Drosophila melanogaster: one gene and its partners. The protein of the gene in region 3 interacts with the protein of the main gene of each other region in a pairwise test. Each region holds a gene or a part of one and is shown on either strand. Other genes may lie near its edges. The genes, in order: Elovl7, SdhD, Obp57c and Tsp74F.

Region 1 (4,807 bases), on a different chromosome or scaffold from region 3:
AAATTTTCTGCAAATGCTCAAGGTTGAATCTCTGGGTATAAAGTGCTTATTTATTTTGATTTTTTGTTCACATAAATTTTACAACTAGGCGTGGCTTGCCGGCACCTAAAACTTGTGTTACAATATATTGTCGTGCGCGGCATTAGTTAAAGGACTAGTGAAGTGCATTCTAACTGGGAAAAACATATCCATGTCTGGTGAGTACAGTCGCAGTCTAAATTCTGATGATCAAATGGAAAATTTCAGAGCAAGCGGAAATATTACCTGCCATCTCTGTCCATATAAGGAGGATCATTCTGATCTAGCATGGTCAATTCATCGTGAGCTTTTCCTCTAGTCATACAGCCACTAGAAAGCCCTTGAATCGATCGTATTCATACTTCCCCCAATATGGCAGACGCGTGTTTCGGATCTGTGAGATGGGATCAGCTTAGGGCGACATGTCTATACATATTCATCGTCTCCCCCGCCGACTGTTTGCACATGTAAATTTGGCGCGGCTAGATTACATGGTCAGTTACGTGTTATTCGGTTAGAATTCCGCAAAAAGATCTTGTGCTCGGCGGCCATGCAGCGGACTTTGAGACGAAAAATGCAAATGTTTGCTTTGTTGCATTGCTTGGGTTTTTTGTCGAAAAACGCATCAAAAGTGCAGGGTAATGGTGAGATTTTTAGCAGGTAAATTAGAATAAAGGTAGTTGAAGGGTCGTTAATTGAGGGTAAGTAAATCGTCAACCAAGCCGCTGTCAAAGTTCGATCTAATTGCTTAGCTCACAAAAATCGACTACGTAACGTTTCAAGCTTGCACAAATAACAAGTAAGCGTCGGGTCCTCCGAAATATTAAGTATCCGCCAGGTTGCCTGCAACATCCAGGTCTCGGTAGCCGCTTTTCCCATTCGGGAATTTGTATGTTTCAGAAGTTCACGGCGCATTTTGGCCATTTATTGGCCATCACGAAGGCAAACGGAGGAAAGCCAAGTATTGGTCATTATAAATATTTAAGAGCCCAAGAGGCAAACTGGTTTGGTCAGCCCCATCTTCTTCTGCTTTTTACCGCATACGTATCCAAAGATTGGGCTTTGTTGCTGGCAACCTTTCCGCCGCTCTCCCTCGCCGTGATTTGATTTGATTTGATTTGATTTGTGGCTACGTTAATTTTTGCACACTTTTCCGATATGAAGGGCCGGGCCTGGGCAGGGGTTAATTAACGGACATTCTTGCCGAACTTTGAACTGTGCAATCATGCGCGCTGCCAAGACGCGGCAAAAGTACCGCTCCGATATTTGGATTGGCGGCAATTAGCGCCGCACTTGGGTGTGGGTGCAAAGGCGGGTGATACCCCCACTGGTGGATACCAAGAATTCGATTCCAAAGGGCCGCTGGCCGATCTCGCTCTCGCTCTGGCATCCTGACGCCCGACCCGATCGCTTCGGCTGTCAGAGCGAGAGCACACATCGACAACCTGTTGCTCAGAACCTGTGGCTAGCGACCGAAGCTTTCGACTTCGGCTCACCTCAACGCCAGCGCCATCGCCACGCTCGCCGAAAATGAGCGGTCGGCGGCGCCGACGATCTGCGTCGACGTCTGCGCCAAGTCCGCTCCTACGACTGCGAGGCGGTATAAAAGTAAAGCGGCAGCGTGAAATCAAACTTATTTCAGTGTTTTTGATTTGAATGTAAAAAGCGCACGCTCGCCCAGTCGCTGTCCAGTTGTTGTCCAGTAAAGTCCAGCGGAGCAGCAGCAGCGGCAGATCGGTCGCATCAGCAGTAGCATCAGCAGCAGTTCCCCGCAACAGTGATGTAGAAACCATAAAACCGTATAACGATGGTCAAACAGTGTGTGCGTGTGTAAAACAATAACTAAAAACCTACAAGCAAGAAAAACGAAAAAAAAAAACGAAACGAAACGAACAAGGATAGTGCGCTAAAAAGTGATAATTCGTATACCAAAGTCGAGAGAATCTCTGTAAATTAGTCAAAAAAAAAAAAAAGAAAAAATAAATAAATACAGTACGCTTCCTTGTAACAAACGGAATATAAACGCGCATTTAGTACCTGTTGAAGCGAATTTTAGCACAATGGTAAGTAGCGGGGGTTCCCGACCGAACACCCAGTGTGACTCAACGGAAAATTGATGCCACTGAAACCTCCTTTATTAAAATGCCTTTGCAACCAGTAATTTCGATGCCGACCCCCAACATGCAAGCCTGAATAAATAAATATACATGATCGTACGTTGACTTGGGCTTTCCGTTAAATCCCACAACCCACAAATGACCCTTTGCACACGACTCGTGTGTGCTGCTGCTGCTATTAAGCAAGAAATTAATAATAAAAAAAAAAATAAATAAAGCTCCTATAATGAATATCCGCAATGCAGCCGTTAAAATTAATTGAGCAAATTATTAATCGAGAAAACCTCTCGAGCACCAGCCATTCCTGGTTCTTATTCGTTTTCTTTGGAAATGGAAAAAAACCGCACGCCAGCAACTGGTTTTCGTTTTCAAGTACACATTCGCTAGCAAGGTTTTCCACTGTTTTTTCCCAAATGCATTTTTGCCGACTCCGCGCAGACCTTTCCACGCTTTTCGCCCACTTTTCCCCCGCTTTCTGCCACAAAACATGAGCGTTTTGCTCTGTTCTGTTTTGCTAGAGCCATTCGCTTTCGAGCTCCGCCAAAAGTGCATACAGAAACTGCAAGTGCTGCACTTATTTCGAAGCTGTCGCTGTGTTATGTCCGCAGTTGCAGCAGCAGCACTTACACCAGCAACATCACTGGCTGGCGGTCAAGTGAAGTGAAGGCTGGCTTTTGGCTTTGACCAGCTCACTAGCCCACCAGCTCACCAGCTCACCAGCTCACCAGCTCACCAGCTCACTGGCATGACAACATTTCACACGGAAATGCAGTGCATCGCTGACCTTGAATCTCGGCCGGGGATATGGGATAACTGGCGATCGGAGCGCAGGTGAAATGATAGCCAGTCAGGGCCAGGCCGACTCATTTGTCCCGTCCACCTTACTTATGCTTTCGGCCCATCATTGCAGATGCTGCTGCTGTGTAGAAATCCAGTGATTTTCATATTCATTCAGCAGCTCTGCAAATTCGAGAGAAAAAACCCCAGTGGGTTAACCAATCGCCGCCGCTACTACCGCTGGCTAATGATCACTGGCATTGCACCATTTCACAAAAAAAAAAAAAAAAGAAAAAAAAAAATAAGCAGGCAACCCAGAAATCGAAACTTATTCAAATCTTCGAGTTGTTTTCTTCTCCTTTTGGCCTCTTACACAATGATTATTACACCTCGATTTTATTTTCGACTGGGACTTTTGCCGCATTTTTGTGTTGCCTCTTTTGACACTGAAAAGTGCAAAGGCGCTGGCGGCGAATTTTACTAGTTGCCAGTTGGCTATGGGCGGCTATGGGCTATCGGGTCTGGGTTGTTTGAGGCTGCTTGTTGGAGCCAGAGCCACTGCCACCCAGCTGCCAAACTGCGCAGCCCCCGCCAAGTGATCATAATAAAAAAAAATGTGCCTTAATCAGCCGATTTGCTTGCATTCCCTGTGGGCCAGTTAGCTACATTGGAGAGCCAGTCTCAGACGCATTGACGTCGCTTTATTGTTGACTGCCGCTCGGCACTCAGCTGTTTTTTGGTAAGAGAATCATGTAGAGAGCATATAGTAAACACAAAACCATAGGCAGAGTGCCCTCTTAGTACTTAGTGTGTGTGTGTGTGTGTGTGTGTGTGTGTGTGAGATAACGCTTGCCGCATGTGACTGAAATCGCAGTGCATTCGCTGCTCCATTTCGATTTGTTTGGCTCCACACGGCGTATGCGCGATTTTCTCAGTAGCTAGCTAGTCTTCGTTCACTTCAATTGCGAATATGCCATTTGGGCAAAGGTTTATTGTTCTACATAAAAAAAGTGCGTGTCTCTCAGCAATTTTTTTACTGGCTGTGTATATTCCCGAGCAAATTAACACTTAAAAACTGATAACGCAAGCGAAGAGAGGAATTCGAGGTAGATAAACGTAAAGAGACCATTAAACGGAGAGTACCTGAAAATGATTACATTTATGGACTCTTATCGGCCCGTGATTGAAGTAAGTGTCATTTGAAATTCAATTATTGCTCGTTGGAGATTAGACAGAAAAGTTATGCCAGTAAAGGTGTTAAAAACACTAAAAATAACAGCTTTTAAATTATTATTCAAACACGCTGGCTTGCATATTTTACAGCTCTTTGAGTGCCTTTTTTTTTTTGCAATTTTATACAAACTCTTCGTTCCCGAAAAAACAATTAATTTATACATATTTGTCGCTTTAAACTGGGTCGGTTGGATGAATTTATTTGTATAAATTAAATTATTTAGTGGGCCATGCTGTCATACCGAATTCGTGATTAAACATATTTCCATTAGTGCGAATTTAGATGGGACTTAGGTGCTAAAGTTGTTCGATTTTGTTTTTAAGTATTTTAAAAATGTTTAATAATATTTTCTAAATAATTTCCTTGTCGTACAACAATAAATTACAAATAAATTCCATTTTAAAGCAACGAACGCATTTGCAGTAATATATTTTCGACACATTTAATCCGAACACAAAATAATTAAATCAACATCAACATTGTGGGGCTAAAGCAAAATTTAAATTAGTGGACAGAAACAACCTGATAAATACGCGAATGTAAAGTGATTGAGGAGCTAAAAGTCATTGCTTGTTTAATTGTGTGGCTAGTGATTTACGGGCTTGGGGGCAGAGAACTTTAGGCTGGGAAATGGCAGCAGGGACGAAAACCAAAGTTCGAC
Region 2 (3,603 bases), on a different chromosome or scaffold from region 3:
TGTTTAACCGCTCAGCTCATTGAAAAGGAGAACATGAAGGCGGTGGTGTCGATGAACGAGGACTATGAGCTGACCGCCTTCTCCAACAACACGGAGAAGTGGCGAAAGCTTGGCATTGAGTTCCTGCAGCTGGCCACCACCGACATCTTTGAGTCGCCCAATCAAGAAAAGCTCTTCCGCGGCGTGGAATTCATAAACAAGTTCCTGCCTCTAAAGCAAAGAATTGGTGGCCTAAGTTCCTCCTACCAGCCGGAGAACGTGGGTTCTGTCTATGTGCACTGCAAGGCTGGTAGGACGCGAAGTGCCACTTTGGTGGGATGCTACCTCATGATGGTGGGTTGGTTATCTATTTGCACGTAGCTCTTAAAAAAAAGCTCACAACTTATCCTTTGCAGAAGAACGGATGGACTCCGGATCAGGCGGTTGACCACATGCGTAAGTGCCGACCGCACATTCTGCTGCACACCAAACAATGGGATGCCCTCCGGTTATTCTACACAAACAATGTGGAGACGAAATCATGACCAAACCTGGACAATAGCCCAAATTTATTGTTTACAGTAGATTACCATACGTAACAAAGGTGGTGCCTGTTACCCAACTACTTTAGTGCTGATTTTCTTGTTGAATATACAATTTTCTACAAAACCCGCTCTGTGCAGCTGTGACTTTTTACAATTCTTTATTTAATGCTTATCGCGAAACTATGAATAAATAACTGGTGTTTCGTGGTTCATCAACTGATTGCTCCTTTGACATTTAAGCCTTCTCGGCATCCTTGCCCTTGATGGCCCAGAAGCGCTTGATACCATTGGCCAGACCCACATCATTTTGGATGAAGTAGAAGAGGCCGCCCAGCGTGGCCACCGAGATGATGATCAGCGCAATGTGGGCTACCTTGGGCAGGACGTTTCCAACGACAGATGGCCGCATGTAGTCAACTACCATGGCCTCCACGCCCCTGCGTTTGGTGAATGAGGAAAATATAAGTAAAGGTTTAATTTTCCTCAAGGATATCTTACCAATGGGTGTGGATGACGACAGAGATGGCCATGAGGGCGTCCAATACCTGGGATGGAGCTATGAAGGCAGCTGGAATGACGGCCAGTAGGCCGGCGGACACAATTCGCTCCACAGTCCAGAGCAGGGTGTGGCTGGATCCAGCGGAAGCCATGCGGGGCGCACTCACGGAGATCTCGCGCACGACGGGCTGCATAAGCAGTCGAGGATTACCATTTAGTATGATTAGCCACCACTGAATTTTTCAACTCTAAACACTTACCGCTACAATCTTGGCCACGGCCAGGGGCTGGACCACCGCCTTCCGCTGGACATTGGCCACCAGGGTGGAGTAGCTCTTCAGGGGAGTGATGCGAGCCGACTTAACAAGATTTGCGGCTAATTGGGATACCAACAAACGGTTTGGTTATATAATGAAAGCTGTTTTGCGTCCAATAACAAGGCGATTTGCCATCCAGTGGGTCCTTACCATTGCAACGGACAGCGCCACGCAGAAGCAACGAGAGGGACATGTTGGGATGTGTAAATATTGAGAATTTTCAGCTCAAAATAAAAACTCTATCGCTCCGTTCGGTTTGGGCCGATTTGTCTAAAAAATTACACAGCACTGGGCTAGTGCAGTCAGCTGTCATCGATTTGTTATCGGTAAACAGTAGCGGTCAAGATATTGTCCCACAATAATAAGGGAAGCCCAGTAAAATATTTTGAACTCAACAAACAATTAAAGGGTGTAATAAATAATAAGAAAACATTTAGTTCAAGGCATTTATTTAACTGCTTTAATTATTTGCACAATACATTTGAGATTCGTTTGGGACGGAATGGCTGTTACACGTAAAAATTGTGATGATCTTACAAACTAAGTTTAAAATTTGCTTAAAACTTTCTAAAATTCGCATTCTAAGGCACGCAATTGCTCCTAAAAGTGACTTTATGTTGGTTGTAAAATTTTTGTAAATTTCGTTGGATGGAATAGTTAAAAAATACTTTTGATATTATTAAGCTAATAAACTCCTAACCTGGACTAAGACCACGATAACGAGGCCAGTCAGTTGAAATTTTAGTGTCGCTGCTCCTGCTCGGTAAAAGTCCCAATCAAATATGATGTTGGAGGCATCCGACGGCTTCCAAGGATTCAATCCGTCATCGAAGTGCATGGGACAGTCGTCACGCTCCCTTTCGTACTCCACGGCATCGATGGCTACGGCAGCGCCCTCCGAGTGGTTCCACGAGGTCACATCTTGCTCCAGTTTGCAGAATGCGCCCACAGCCTGCGACATGAGGACACGGTTGAGGTCGGCACGCTGATAGACCCAGCAGCGATACTTGGACAGCGGATCCAAATCGTCGTACGTAATCAGGTAGGACTTGAGGTTCTCCTTCCAGAAGCCAATGCACTTCATGCGGTAATCGGGATCACTGTAGATATCAACGGGACGACCCAAGTGATCCACCGACAGGCAATAGTTTTCATCCACCGCCAATTCCTTTTGATCTGTATCGCAAACCGATAAATCCGAGATGTTTTGCTTGCAATGGATATCGGGACGCGGACTCAGAGTGACACCACCAAGAATTCTGTGAAATATACACATTAATTATACGTTTCATGCTACGATTGCAAAACATTACAAACCTCGTTCTGAAGGGATGCTCTCCTCGCTGCGTAAAGTTGAATTTTCCCGCAACGGGGCAACGAACAGGCACAGGATTTCGAGCAAGAAACAGATCATATTTCCATGCCTCCGAATTGGGGAACTGAACCCAAGAGCAGACTGTACTAAAATCGTCCTTGATCACAGCCAAACCCTTGCGGTAGCGAATGATGTTGTGGTGGCGGGGCATAAAGTCAAAGCACACGTAATCCTTCTGGCAACCGTCGACAGTGAGGCGAGCCATCATCACACGATTACCCCGTCGCTCTCGGCAAACATAGATTGTCTTTCGGTATCGAGCTTTATCCGGATAGTACGTCTCGTTTATGTGGGTCTCACTGATCGAGACATCGGCATCAATGTTGGCAGTGTTCACCCATTCTCCGCTAAAGTTTTGTGGTAGCGTGCAACCGGGTTCCACAAACTCAGCCTTCACTGGCGTCAGCTTTAGACGCTCCGGTGACGTTTCTGGCGTCTTCAGTGTGTTACATTCGGCCGTAATGGAAACGCCCACGTAAAGATCATCGTCACGATTCTTAAGGAAGCAGCGGTACTTCTCATCCTTACGCGACTCCTTTGTGTTGGCCACGGCAAAGTAGTGGTTCTTGCCCACAAACCAATCGCCCAGGCAGCTGAACTCCACGGTGCCGGTGAATGTGCCCTCCATACCCTCGCACTGCTGATAGGTGACGTTGAACTTCTGGTTCTGGATGAGGAACTGCGTTCCTGCCGTTTGACAGGACTGAATGCGAGCGTCGGGCTTATCGCATACGCCCGTGAATCGGAATCGGTTCTATAATAAAAGTTCAAATCAAGATCACTAATCAACATAAAATGGATATGTTTCTAGACCCTTAACTAAACCGCACCATGTGCAAATTATGTGATCTATGAATCTATTTTGATCTTACCTGGTACGTAAAATGCC
Region 3 (3,172 bases):
TATTGACATTTATTCCGAATCAATTACGGGATGGCCAGCCTTAAATGCACACATCACCAGTCTAAAACTGTACGCACAAAGTTCTTCGGGAGCCTTCTCCATGCACTTGGTAATGGATTTGGATGCCTTATCGGTCGTATTCATCAAATCCAAATCCATTCTGCCTTGAGCATTCAACCATTTCGTTGAATCCCTTTCCAGCTGACATTTAATATTGCACTTGTACCTCAAGTCGACTTTCTCGTTGAGCAGGTAATCCAAAGTTTCGTGTCGCGCGTATTTCTCATATTCTCCTATGGTAATATTATTAACTTGTAGACACTCCTGAAAGTCTTGCCAATTCCAATGAAATATATCAAAGGGGTGGCGAGCCTATATATTGTAGTTTGTTGAAAATAAATCAAAAGCTTAGTCAAATATAAATATCAATCCCACCTTGGCCAAGCTGAACAATAACAAAATCAGAGGCGCAATAAATACAAGTCTGTAGATGAACATTGTAGAAATGAAACTAAACAGTTGCTTGTGAATTTCCCGCTGGCATAAAACAATTGCGATTAAGTTGCTTGACCAGTTTTAGACCGATTATTCGTTTAATTTGTTTGTATTTTTACCCGCTTCGGTGACCTCATCGCTCTGCTCGAAGCTTTCAGTTAGACAAGTCACCATCTTAAACGCATATTCGCAATGATCTTCTTCCTCATCGTAGATTTTCTTGCAATCGTAGAGTATCTCTCGCAGTTCATCGCTCACGGGCTCAATTTGATCAATTTTATCCACATCCAAATAGCCATTGGTATCCAAAAGATTTCCCTTCTCCGCTAGGCAATGGATGAAGCATTTGTATCTTCTGTCGGTATTCTCGAGGTCATCCTCTTCGGAGCTGTTGCGATCGATGAGTTCCTGGAATTCAGCCTGGCTGATGTTATTGCTGGCCAGGCAATCTGACACGTAATTGGTTTCCTCCAGAAGTGAGAGACTCTATAATAAAAACCATACTTTCCAATTAACTGCCATATGAAACAGACCTCAGATGTGATTACCTGTATGGAGACCACGCTGACAGTCAAGATACATATTAGCCATAGCTTAAGCATTATCTAACGATTCGCAGAATCTGTTTCAAGATAAATATGGACATGGGTTTTCCTAGCACAGTAGCACCTCACGATAAACTGTTACTCGCAGAAAGGCGGTTCTGAATTTTATACACACTGGCTTGTGGCTAATTTATGGCGTCTAGCTTATCTGTATCTAGTTAGCTAGTTAATTGCGATCAACTGGTTACTGTACACAATATGAGCCAGTTGGAAGTACGATCTGTCGTGCATTTAATTGAGTCTCAAAACTCGGAACTGAATCAGCTTGCATTGAGCTCGAATCCAATGATTGATTTTCATTGGCAATTATATACTCTTACAATTTTTAAAGGCCGGCCACCAAAGCTTTTCCGGCAAAACTAAACACACACACTGTGCAAAGTTGCACGTAAATTTCATTTTATACGCAGTGAAATTCGCATAACATTTCCTGTCAACATATTTTGCAACACTTTTGTTGCAAAAATGAAGCGACAACTGCAGCGGCAGGAGCAACACAAAGCGACAAATTGCGTTGACAGTGGGTGGAAAAGGGGGTTTTAGTTTGGAATGGTTTGGTTTGGTTTGACTACAGTTTTTTTTTTTTTTTTTTTTTTTTTTGGAGAAAAGACATTCCTAACTATGCAACCCCATGCAACTGTAGACAACAAATGAAAATTCCAAGAATATTCACATTCGCAGTGAGTTTTGGCTTTTGCGGCCGGGACTTTGTCTGCTCTTTTCCAGCGACCTCCTGCTCCGCCAAACCGCTTGTCGCGTTGTTTACTTTGGTTATTTACGGCCTGAACAATTTTTTTCTTATTTTTGCCCTCTTTCTTTTCACGCTGCATACTTTGGACGGTTGCCAAAAAGGAAATATGTGTTGGGGAAAATTACAAATTTTTATGGTCATAGCTAGGTGCTAAACTGTGTCCTCGGCTGACCCAGCCTGTCGCTTCTAGTCCTGTCAAGTCCTGCTGCATAATTGCGATGCCATTTTGCCTATTTCTCAGCCCATCAATTTTTGAGGTTTTATGAAAATTTGGCATTTTCGCGAAACACGATATCGCTGTTATGGGTTTATTAGGGCGAAATTTGATTTCGTTGGACGCTAATTAGTCCTATGAAATGTTTCTGGGTCGATAAGCAGTAGGCATAATTCACAGGTCGACATGCACAATGGAAATGTGAAATAATGCGGATGTTCGAATCGAAATCAGATTTAATGGATTTCATAAATTTGGCATTATTTCTGCCTAATGGTAATTGAATATCAAACTTTTTGAAATTTAATGAGCCCACGCAAAAATTATAAGTATTGAACCTTCACTTCAGTAAAGTTTCAATGAAGGTTAACAAGAAAAAACTCTGACTTTCCTCTGACAGCTACTGCCATTTATTAAACATGTCAGGGGGAGCTGGTGTAGTTTTCTTTCCCTATTTTTCCCTCTTTTTCAGCTGTTGCCGCTGATACCTTTCCGGAAAAGTTGCCACAACAAAAGGAGAACTAGTAAAAAAAAAATATGTGTAAAAAGTTCTGGCTGCTTTGCGTAATAAAAATAAATAGTAAGTGACTTCAATATGCATGTCACGTATTTTGCATGCACTTTGATGCCACGCCCACCCCAACAAAAGCCCGCCCAAATACATTTTGGCACGTGCAGCAACACAATGGAATTTCTGGAAAAATGCGTAAAATGTTAAGGGATGTCGGTGGCGTAGCCATTGCATAACCGAAGCATCTTCTGCAACTGAGCCGAGACTTTGACTTCGCCAAGAAATTGCAACAAATTAATGAACGAACCAGAATCCCGCAGCTTGCCAACGACAATGACCAGGTTTCCCACGTTCGTTTCAGTATAGAGAACCACTAAGTAGTATACATTTATCAATTAGTTCGAAATGGAGAGCAGCATAGTCAGCTGCCAAGTTCATAGCATTGCCAGTTAGGTGCCGTTCTCGACGAAACCACTGGGGTGTGAATCGCTTCTCCAAGACAAACAAAGTCCGGGAAGTGGGTTCACATCCTGGAAGATGCAAGGGCCACGCAGCAAAAGGAGCAGAGGAGCAAAGGAGCTCCGCGCTCGAGACAG
Region 4 (6,552 bases), on a different chromosome or scaffold from region 3:
TATCCACTCCAACTGCAGCAACTTGCCGATGAGTTGGAACAAATTCGGAAGACTGCGATTCCCAGCGCCCGAGTTCCGCATTCTGATTCAAGAGCTAACCCGACTTTCCACAACGGAAACTGGGAGTGGTGGAATAATACGGATACGCAATCAGGTTCCGGCACCTTCTCCATCAATTTATGGCTTGCGATGGGTAGTATTATAGGCTTAGTATACAGAAATCTGTTGTAGCTGTAAGTTCTTAGTAGAATAATTTTTAATAAAAGTTAATTAAAGAAAATACTTTTTTATTCAAATCTTTAAAGTCGCTTGAGTGCGAACTTATTTTCAGTTAAATAACATAAAAGTTGTTATATTATCTGATGATAATTCACTTTGTAAACACCTTCAGGTCACAGCGTGATCCATACTTTCCCTATTTTCCCGCTTCAAAAATGTGACTTAAGACAAAAAAAACCTAAAAATATGCAACAATATTGCATGTAGATTAAAGCTTCGATCAAAAACAGTTTAATACTTTAAACCGTTTTTTAAATACAAATTTTTACGTAACATGGACATATTTCATGGACCAGATCATTTTAAATATTTATCCTTTTTCGTTTTTTTTTTATACTCATATCACAACATATCGTTTAATGATAATTGGATTAAAAATAAAAAATATTAATATATATAAACATTTCCGAAGTATTTGGTTTTAACTAATTTTTATTGAAAACAACAATGGACAGACATCTAAATTCTCTATTAAGTATTGAAAAGCTCACTTAAAACTAGCAATTGTAATGGGTTGTTGATAACGGTGGCTTAAGAGGAAATTTACAAAACTTCACACAAATAATACAAATTTATGCAACAGATAATAACAATAGAATCCCTACTAAGTTCAATACTCACTAGTTATGCGTATCTAAACACGTATATACATACAATACAATACATAATACAAGCGGACAGTTGATCTGTGCAGATCTAACATTAGCATACACTCAGATAATACTCTTAATTTAACTCCAGCGAATTATGTTTAAAAATGTGTTTCTTCTGGACTGTGGACCTTGGTATCTGATTTTCCTGCGTGACCATGGGATTCCCCTCCTCGTTGGCGCTATTCGATCATATTGAATAGTAGACAGGAGAATATCATGCCAAAGATCTAAAAATAAACCAAATTCCAATTAATTATATATTATATAATAATTTTGCTACCGAAGAAAGGCGTTCACTTACCATCAGTATGGCCACCGCTATGGATGTACCTCCAATAACCGCCGCGTGATCCCTGATGAAGTTGGTCGTCACATAGAGGCATCCCTGGTTGTACAGATTCGTAATGGTCGGGAAGATTGTGCACTCCTTACGCTGTCCACCGAAAAGCTCCTGGCAACAGGACTCAGGCACTGGTCCGTACCTATTCCAGTCGTGCCACGTATCCACTCCGCAGCACTGTAGTCGCTCCTGGGTCAAATCCCAGGCCTGGGTGATCTCCCTCCTGCTTCCGTATAGTGCCATCGTGGAACGCATTTCCTATGGGATATTGGTAAGGGTTAATGTGCCACCCACGTGTTGTTATCGATGGATTTGCCTCACCTGCCGCATGGTCTGCTGAACTCGTTCGCGGAACACGTAACCCAAGACACCGCCAATTAGCATGGTCACGAAAACTAGGGCCACTATTATGAAATACTGCAAAGGGAAAACGAGTGGTTAATTTTTTAGCTAAATGGTGTTTGCATAATAGTAAAGAAGAGACTGACAACATTTAGAAGATTAAATCAAATAGATCATTTCTTTAGATGGTATCTTTGTAAATATGCAAATCCAGATATGATTACTCCAAAAAGGACAAAGTTAATTATTTAATAAAATGAAATTTTTGTTTTTATTGTTTGTTGTTTACTTACTGTTAGGAGGAGGCATTTGACTTCTTTTCCGGCACCAACACAACCCAAAAAGGACACCAGACAAATGATAATCGATGTAACCAGCAGGACGTAGACAGCACCCGAGAAAAGATTTGTACCGAGCAACTCATTGACGAAACTCCGATCCACCAGAGTCCACAGGGTGAGACAAAACACAATCGCTCCACCCACCTGGAAAATACATATATTTTGGTATTATTTATTTCTCTTAAATTGTTTTTTAATTCAAGCGACTCCTGGATACTCACGAATATCACAAAGTTGGCTATGAAAAGACTGTACTTGACGAACTGCCCGCAGCAGTCCATTCGCGAACTGAAGCCCATATCGTCTTCCTTTGAAAGGATAATACATTTCAATTAACCAATTCAATGGGATAAAAAGATTTCACATTGTTTACTTTTGTCTACAGGTGAAGAGCCCCCAGAGGATATTGATGCGAGGAGAATTATGCAGGGAATTTGGGGTAGGATGAGATGCAGAGGTTCTTGATGGCGATACAACTCTATAATCCAAAGACAGATAAAAATAATTTCACACTATGCTTTAATTAAGTTAAAGTTCTTAGAGATCATTCAATTTCAACAGGTCCTTAGCGATAACCAAGTTAATCATAACTCATCATCCCGATTTCAAATTAGCTATTTTTGGCCTACTCTCTATTGCAATGTGATGTAATCTCAAGAATGTACTTTTTAACGAGTTTCTTTCGCGTAAGATTCACTCCAACATATGGGCTGCCTATCAATGGTGTTCGGCTTGGCGAGTGGTGCGCATGCGCATGCGCATGCGCAGCTGTGGTTTCGGCCGAACGTTTCGCTCTTTCTAAGCCGGGTCCGAACCGCGAAGCGACCGAAGTACACTTAACCATGACCCACTTTATGGAACTGCGACTGAGCAGCGAAGCTGCCAACGCTATGTGCCTAGACAAGCGTTCATTATCGGCGGTGGCTGCCAACGTCTTGTGGATTTTGTCAGTTACGGCTCTAAAGACTCGCGTTTTTTTTTTTTTTTTTGGTTACTTACATCGCATTAGGCCCACTTGAAGGGTTCGCTGCGCGGCGATTCCGAGACGAATTCCCCCCGTTGAAGTTGGAGCGATCAAAACAAATAAATCAAAGTAATAGCCTGCCCGAAAATTTGTCAGCTAATTGTAGTGGTTTAACTACGAGTGCCGTCCCAGCTCTGAATCATCTTGGCGCAGTGCGATGTTCTAAATGCTAATTAAAAGTAATTGCAGGCTGAGCAGTCGGGTACCCCTTCACCCCACTAGCTGGTAAACGACATCTCATTTCGAGCATTATTCTCCAAATTCAAATATGTTAAGCCGCAGTCGAGTTCGCCAGGTAATTGGCGGGGCTATTAAAAAAATGTTCTCACACTATCTGAATATTCACTATATTTCATTCGACGTTATCATGTTAAGCGAATCCGAATCGTGCCTGAGATGACAGTAAGTCATCCGAAAGTCGCCATTAATGATGACGGGGCGTTGGCGGCGGGGCGAATCACTATATCTGCCGCTTGTAAGCTGAGACCAATTAAGTTTATGGTAATTGTTCAGCTGTACGTGCTACACATGGTAATAGATCACTTAAAGCTCGGATTCCAAGTCCTGTCACTCATGAAAAACTTAGAAAATCAGACTTTTTAAGTACTATCTACTAAACTCTGAGCTCACTCTTTTATGCTCCTTTCATACCCTGTTATCTATCTGTAATCATAGGAATAATAGCTTTACTAGGTCATTTATGTTTAAAACTCGTATGTAATCTTTATTTGTAGGTGATGTTAGCTTAAAAGTTAGTGAGCAGAATCGGTCGAGGCTATAAATATGAAATATGTACTCCTTGTTTATACTCGAAGCTTGAAAATATAGCAGTGAAAATAGGAAAGTGGTCGCATTTGAAGGACCTCTGTATGAAATTTATGATTAATTAAAACAAATGAAATATTATCTAATAAGCAAATTCACTTACAAGTTTGCCGTCCCGTAGCACAAACGAAGTTTTCGTTAGGTAACCAATTTTGGCGGTTTTCTTTCTCAGCTTTGTGTATGTAAATTGCCTTCAATTTGTTGTTTTGCAAAAACACAAAGCAAAACAAAAGAAACGGCTACTATTTTTAGTTGCACTTGAATGCACAGAAACTTTGGGAGTGGCTATAAAAAAAGAAGGAAATTATTTTAACCCTTTCAATTAACATTTTTGTGGTAAGAAGTAGAAGAGTTTTTAATTTCACTTTTATTTATAAACAACTTTTTGATGAAGACGCATTCATTCATTTTTTCGGTCGATTTTATTAACTTGTTTAAATTTTTGGTTCATTCTTCATTCAGATCACTTCATTCAGATCAAAAGAGATCGCAAAGTTTACATACGCATATAGCAATTTATGCAATATTCGTTAATATTTGCTCTCGAATTTTTATGAAACTTTTTTAATACAGGTTTCTTGCATTTGTTTTAAGCGTCACTCGCAGTTGATAATTGTTATTGAGTTTTTATTCGATTGCTGTTGCTGTTATTGTCAATTGCAGTTCTCCCATGGCAAACAACTTTTTTTTTGCCGCCTTGCTTTTAACATTTGCTTTTCAAGTTACGTCACGCTTGCCAAGGCAGCATTATCCTTAGCGGAGTTATCACTGTACTGTCGGGATATTTCGTGGGGATAAAACTATACGATTCACTTGATGGACCTAAGTCTCGCCTTACAGGGATTGAGTGGATCCGGGGAGCTATGATACTATGGTTTTATATGTGGGACAGGGACGACTCTACCGCCCGAGAGCTCGCTTGGAACTGGTTGTGGGAACAGTCGGGGCGATCGGTTTTTTATTAGTTTCGCTCACAAAGAGCTTCGTTGTTGGGCTTTTTCTGGTCTCGGTCTCTCGACATTACAACAACTTCGACTTGAGCCCCTGTTTTCGAAGGCTTAGCACTGCAGGTGCGAGAGAGATGGGAGTCTCTACTCGCTTACAAACCGCAAATACTTCTCTGAATGTTTTCGTGCTTCTCTCTTATTTATTCATCTATTTTTCGGCTTCTTTTACCCACACTTCCCTTTGCGGAGTCGGCATGTGAAAATGCGTTGAGCAAACAAAATATGATCCGTCGTCCACAGCCAGCACCTTTGTTTCATTTCGGGCAATTGCAAAATATAAATATTGATAAGCAAACGAAATTTGATATTTGTTTTAGTTCTCGGTCTGCACATGGCAATGTCCGCATAATTGATTTTGGAGGCAAATCTATCCGAATTGGTTACCGTTTTGTTATAACAGTTTAAGTTTAAATACTTTTTGAACAAGGATTATTTGTAATGATTGTTTTCTTTCTTCAGTTGGATCATTTGCATCTATTTGCAACCATATTTATATTCAATATACGAGTGTTGATCAGACAACTTGATAAAGCCAAGTTTGTCAGTCCGTTCCTTTCTTACGCATTCTAGAATCATAGTTTTAAAGCTTGGAACTTTTCTAAAAATCTTCTTTTTATTGCTCGTAGTATGTGAATTTGTCTTCTGTATCATGTATGTATAAATATCGAAATTTAATTGAAAATATTAGAAAAGAAATCAAACATTGGCGAGGCTATCTTTCTTTCTTGATTTCAAGGGCTTAGTGTTCCAAGAGAGCACAAGGAAAATATGCTTATTATCCGTGTTTCATGTTACTTTTGCTGGTCGAACTCAATTGCTGTGCCGAAGGACAACCTTTGGCAATTAACAGCTTAATTTTCTTGTTAGTCGAACAAATAGTTTTGGCTGAGTTGAGTAATTTTTTAAGCAGTTTCCAAGCTAAGGTCAGAAAGTTGGCTGCCGATAGACGAATAGCTCACCCTCCCTACTTACACTCCACAGCACGGTTGAAAAGCGCTCAAATTGTTGGCTTGTTTAGCACTTTTATGGCCGTGTTAACAACAACCACCCGCCATGTCCCCGTAATCACCGACCAATGTGTTAGTTGCATGGCGAAAATAAAAATAAATCATAAAAAAAAGAAAAACAATTACTCTGCCTGTTGATTTTGCATCTTATAAACTCGCTGTGGGAACCTTTTGCGTTTTATAGATGCCATAAAATCCATTTCCACACACTCGTCCCACAGGCGCCTCATGATAAAATATTGCTCAGAAATCGAAGTTTGCGACTAGTGCTCAGTTATTCTTGCTCAAGTGGCCAAGAATCATTAATATTATGGGGAATTCTTAATTTTAAGCCAGTCAATTTCGCCTATGAACCTATACTTACTGAGATCCGATTAGTGTGAGCGAGTTGAAAGCCTCGTTGAGCTCGGCGAAGGTGACAAGCGTCAGAAGCGTTAAATTGTGGCACTTTAACTGATTGGAATGAGTCAAAAATTGGGAAGGCAAGCAAATGACTACTGGTAGTGGAAGATATAATTAAAATGTTAACCGAACTGCGCATACAACCGAGTTAACACAGCAACATGCATCATACATTATCAGATGCAAACTAAAGTGAAACATTGAAAAAACAACAAATGCAACATTTTTGATTCTCACATGACTTATCATAGCTGCTATAACTCTACTTACGCCTTCGCCACTTACTGATCTTCGTATAAAAGCTATCTCAATCAATCAAAAATTTGCATATT

The links.
Region 1: the proteins of Obp57c (region 3) and Elovl7 interact in a two-hybrid assay, tested with the Drosophila melanogaster proteins (one large-scale study listed by BioGRID).
Region 2: the proteins of Obp57c (region 3) and SdhD interact in a two-hybrid assay, tested with the Drosophila melanogaster proteins (one large-scale study listed by BioGRID).
Region 4: the proteins of Obp57c (region 3) and Tsp74F interact in a two-hybrid assay, tested with the Drosophila melanogaster proteins (one large-scale study listed by BioGRID).

The regions. Positions count from the first base shown.
Region 1 is NT_033777.3:7,992,694-7,997,500, reverse strand, and holds the start of Elovl7 (ELOVL fatty acid elongase 7), read left to right. Parts: upstream 1-1,648; 5' UTR 1,649-2,078; coding exon 2,079-2,081; intron 2,082-4,807. UniProt on the Drosophila melanogaster protein: Catalyzes the first and rate-limiting reaction of the four reactions that constitute the long-chain fatty acids elongation cycle.
Region 2 is NT_033777.3:23,758,963-23,762,565, forward strand, and holds SdhD (succinate dehydrogenase, subunit D), read right to left. Parts: upstream 1,639-3,603; 5' UTR 1,533-1,638; coding exon 1,490-1,532; intron 1,399-1,489; coding exon 1,283-1,398; intron 1,211-1,282; coding exon 1,023-1,210; intron 962-1,022; coding exon 760-961; 3' UTR 525-759; downstream 1-524. Other genes in the region: PTPMT1 (protein tyrosine phosphatase, mitochondrial 1), read left to right, coding at 16-333, 396-524; udt (undicht), read right to left, coding at 2,019-2,598, 2,657-3,468, 3,587-3,603. UniProt on the Drosophila melanogaster protein: Membrane-anchoring subunit of succinate dehydrogenase (SDH) that is involved in complex II of the mitochondrial electron transport chain and is responsible for transferring electrons from succinate to ubiquinone (coenzyme Q).
Region 3 is NT_033778.4:20,501,592-20,504,763, reverse strand, and holds Obp57c (Odorant-binding protein 57c), read right to left. Parts: upstream 1,181-3,172; 5' UTR 1,098-1,180; coding exon 1,044-1,097; intron 982-1,043; coding exon 586-981; 3' UTR 562-585; downstream 1-561. Other genes in the region: Obp57b (Odorant-binding protein 57b), read right to left, coding at 10-372, 436-498. UniProt on the Drosophila melanogaster protein: Present in the aqueous fluid surrounding olfactory sensory dendrites and are thought to aid in the capture and transport of hydrophobic odorants into and through this fluid.
Region 4 is NT_037436.4:17,891,124-17,897,675, forward strand, and holds Tsp74F (tetraspanin 74F), read right to left. Parts: upstream 4,740-6,552; 5' UTR 4,643-4,739; intron 4,090-4,642; 5' UTR 3,908-4,089; intron 2,434-3,907; exon of another isoform or gene 2,329-2,433; intron 2,264-2,328; 5' UTR 2,255-2,263; coding exon 2,177-2,254; intron 2,100-2,176; coding exon 1,908-2,099; intron 1,690-1,907; coding exon 1,594-1,689; intron 1,531-1,593; coding exon 1,234-1,530; intron 1,160-1,233; coding exon 1,112-1,159; 3' UTR 697-1,111; downstream 1-696. Other genes in the region: CG7402 (uncharacterized protein), read left to right, coding at 1-231.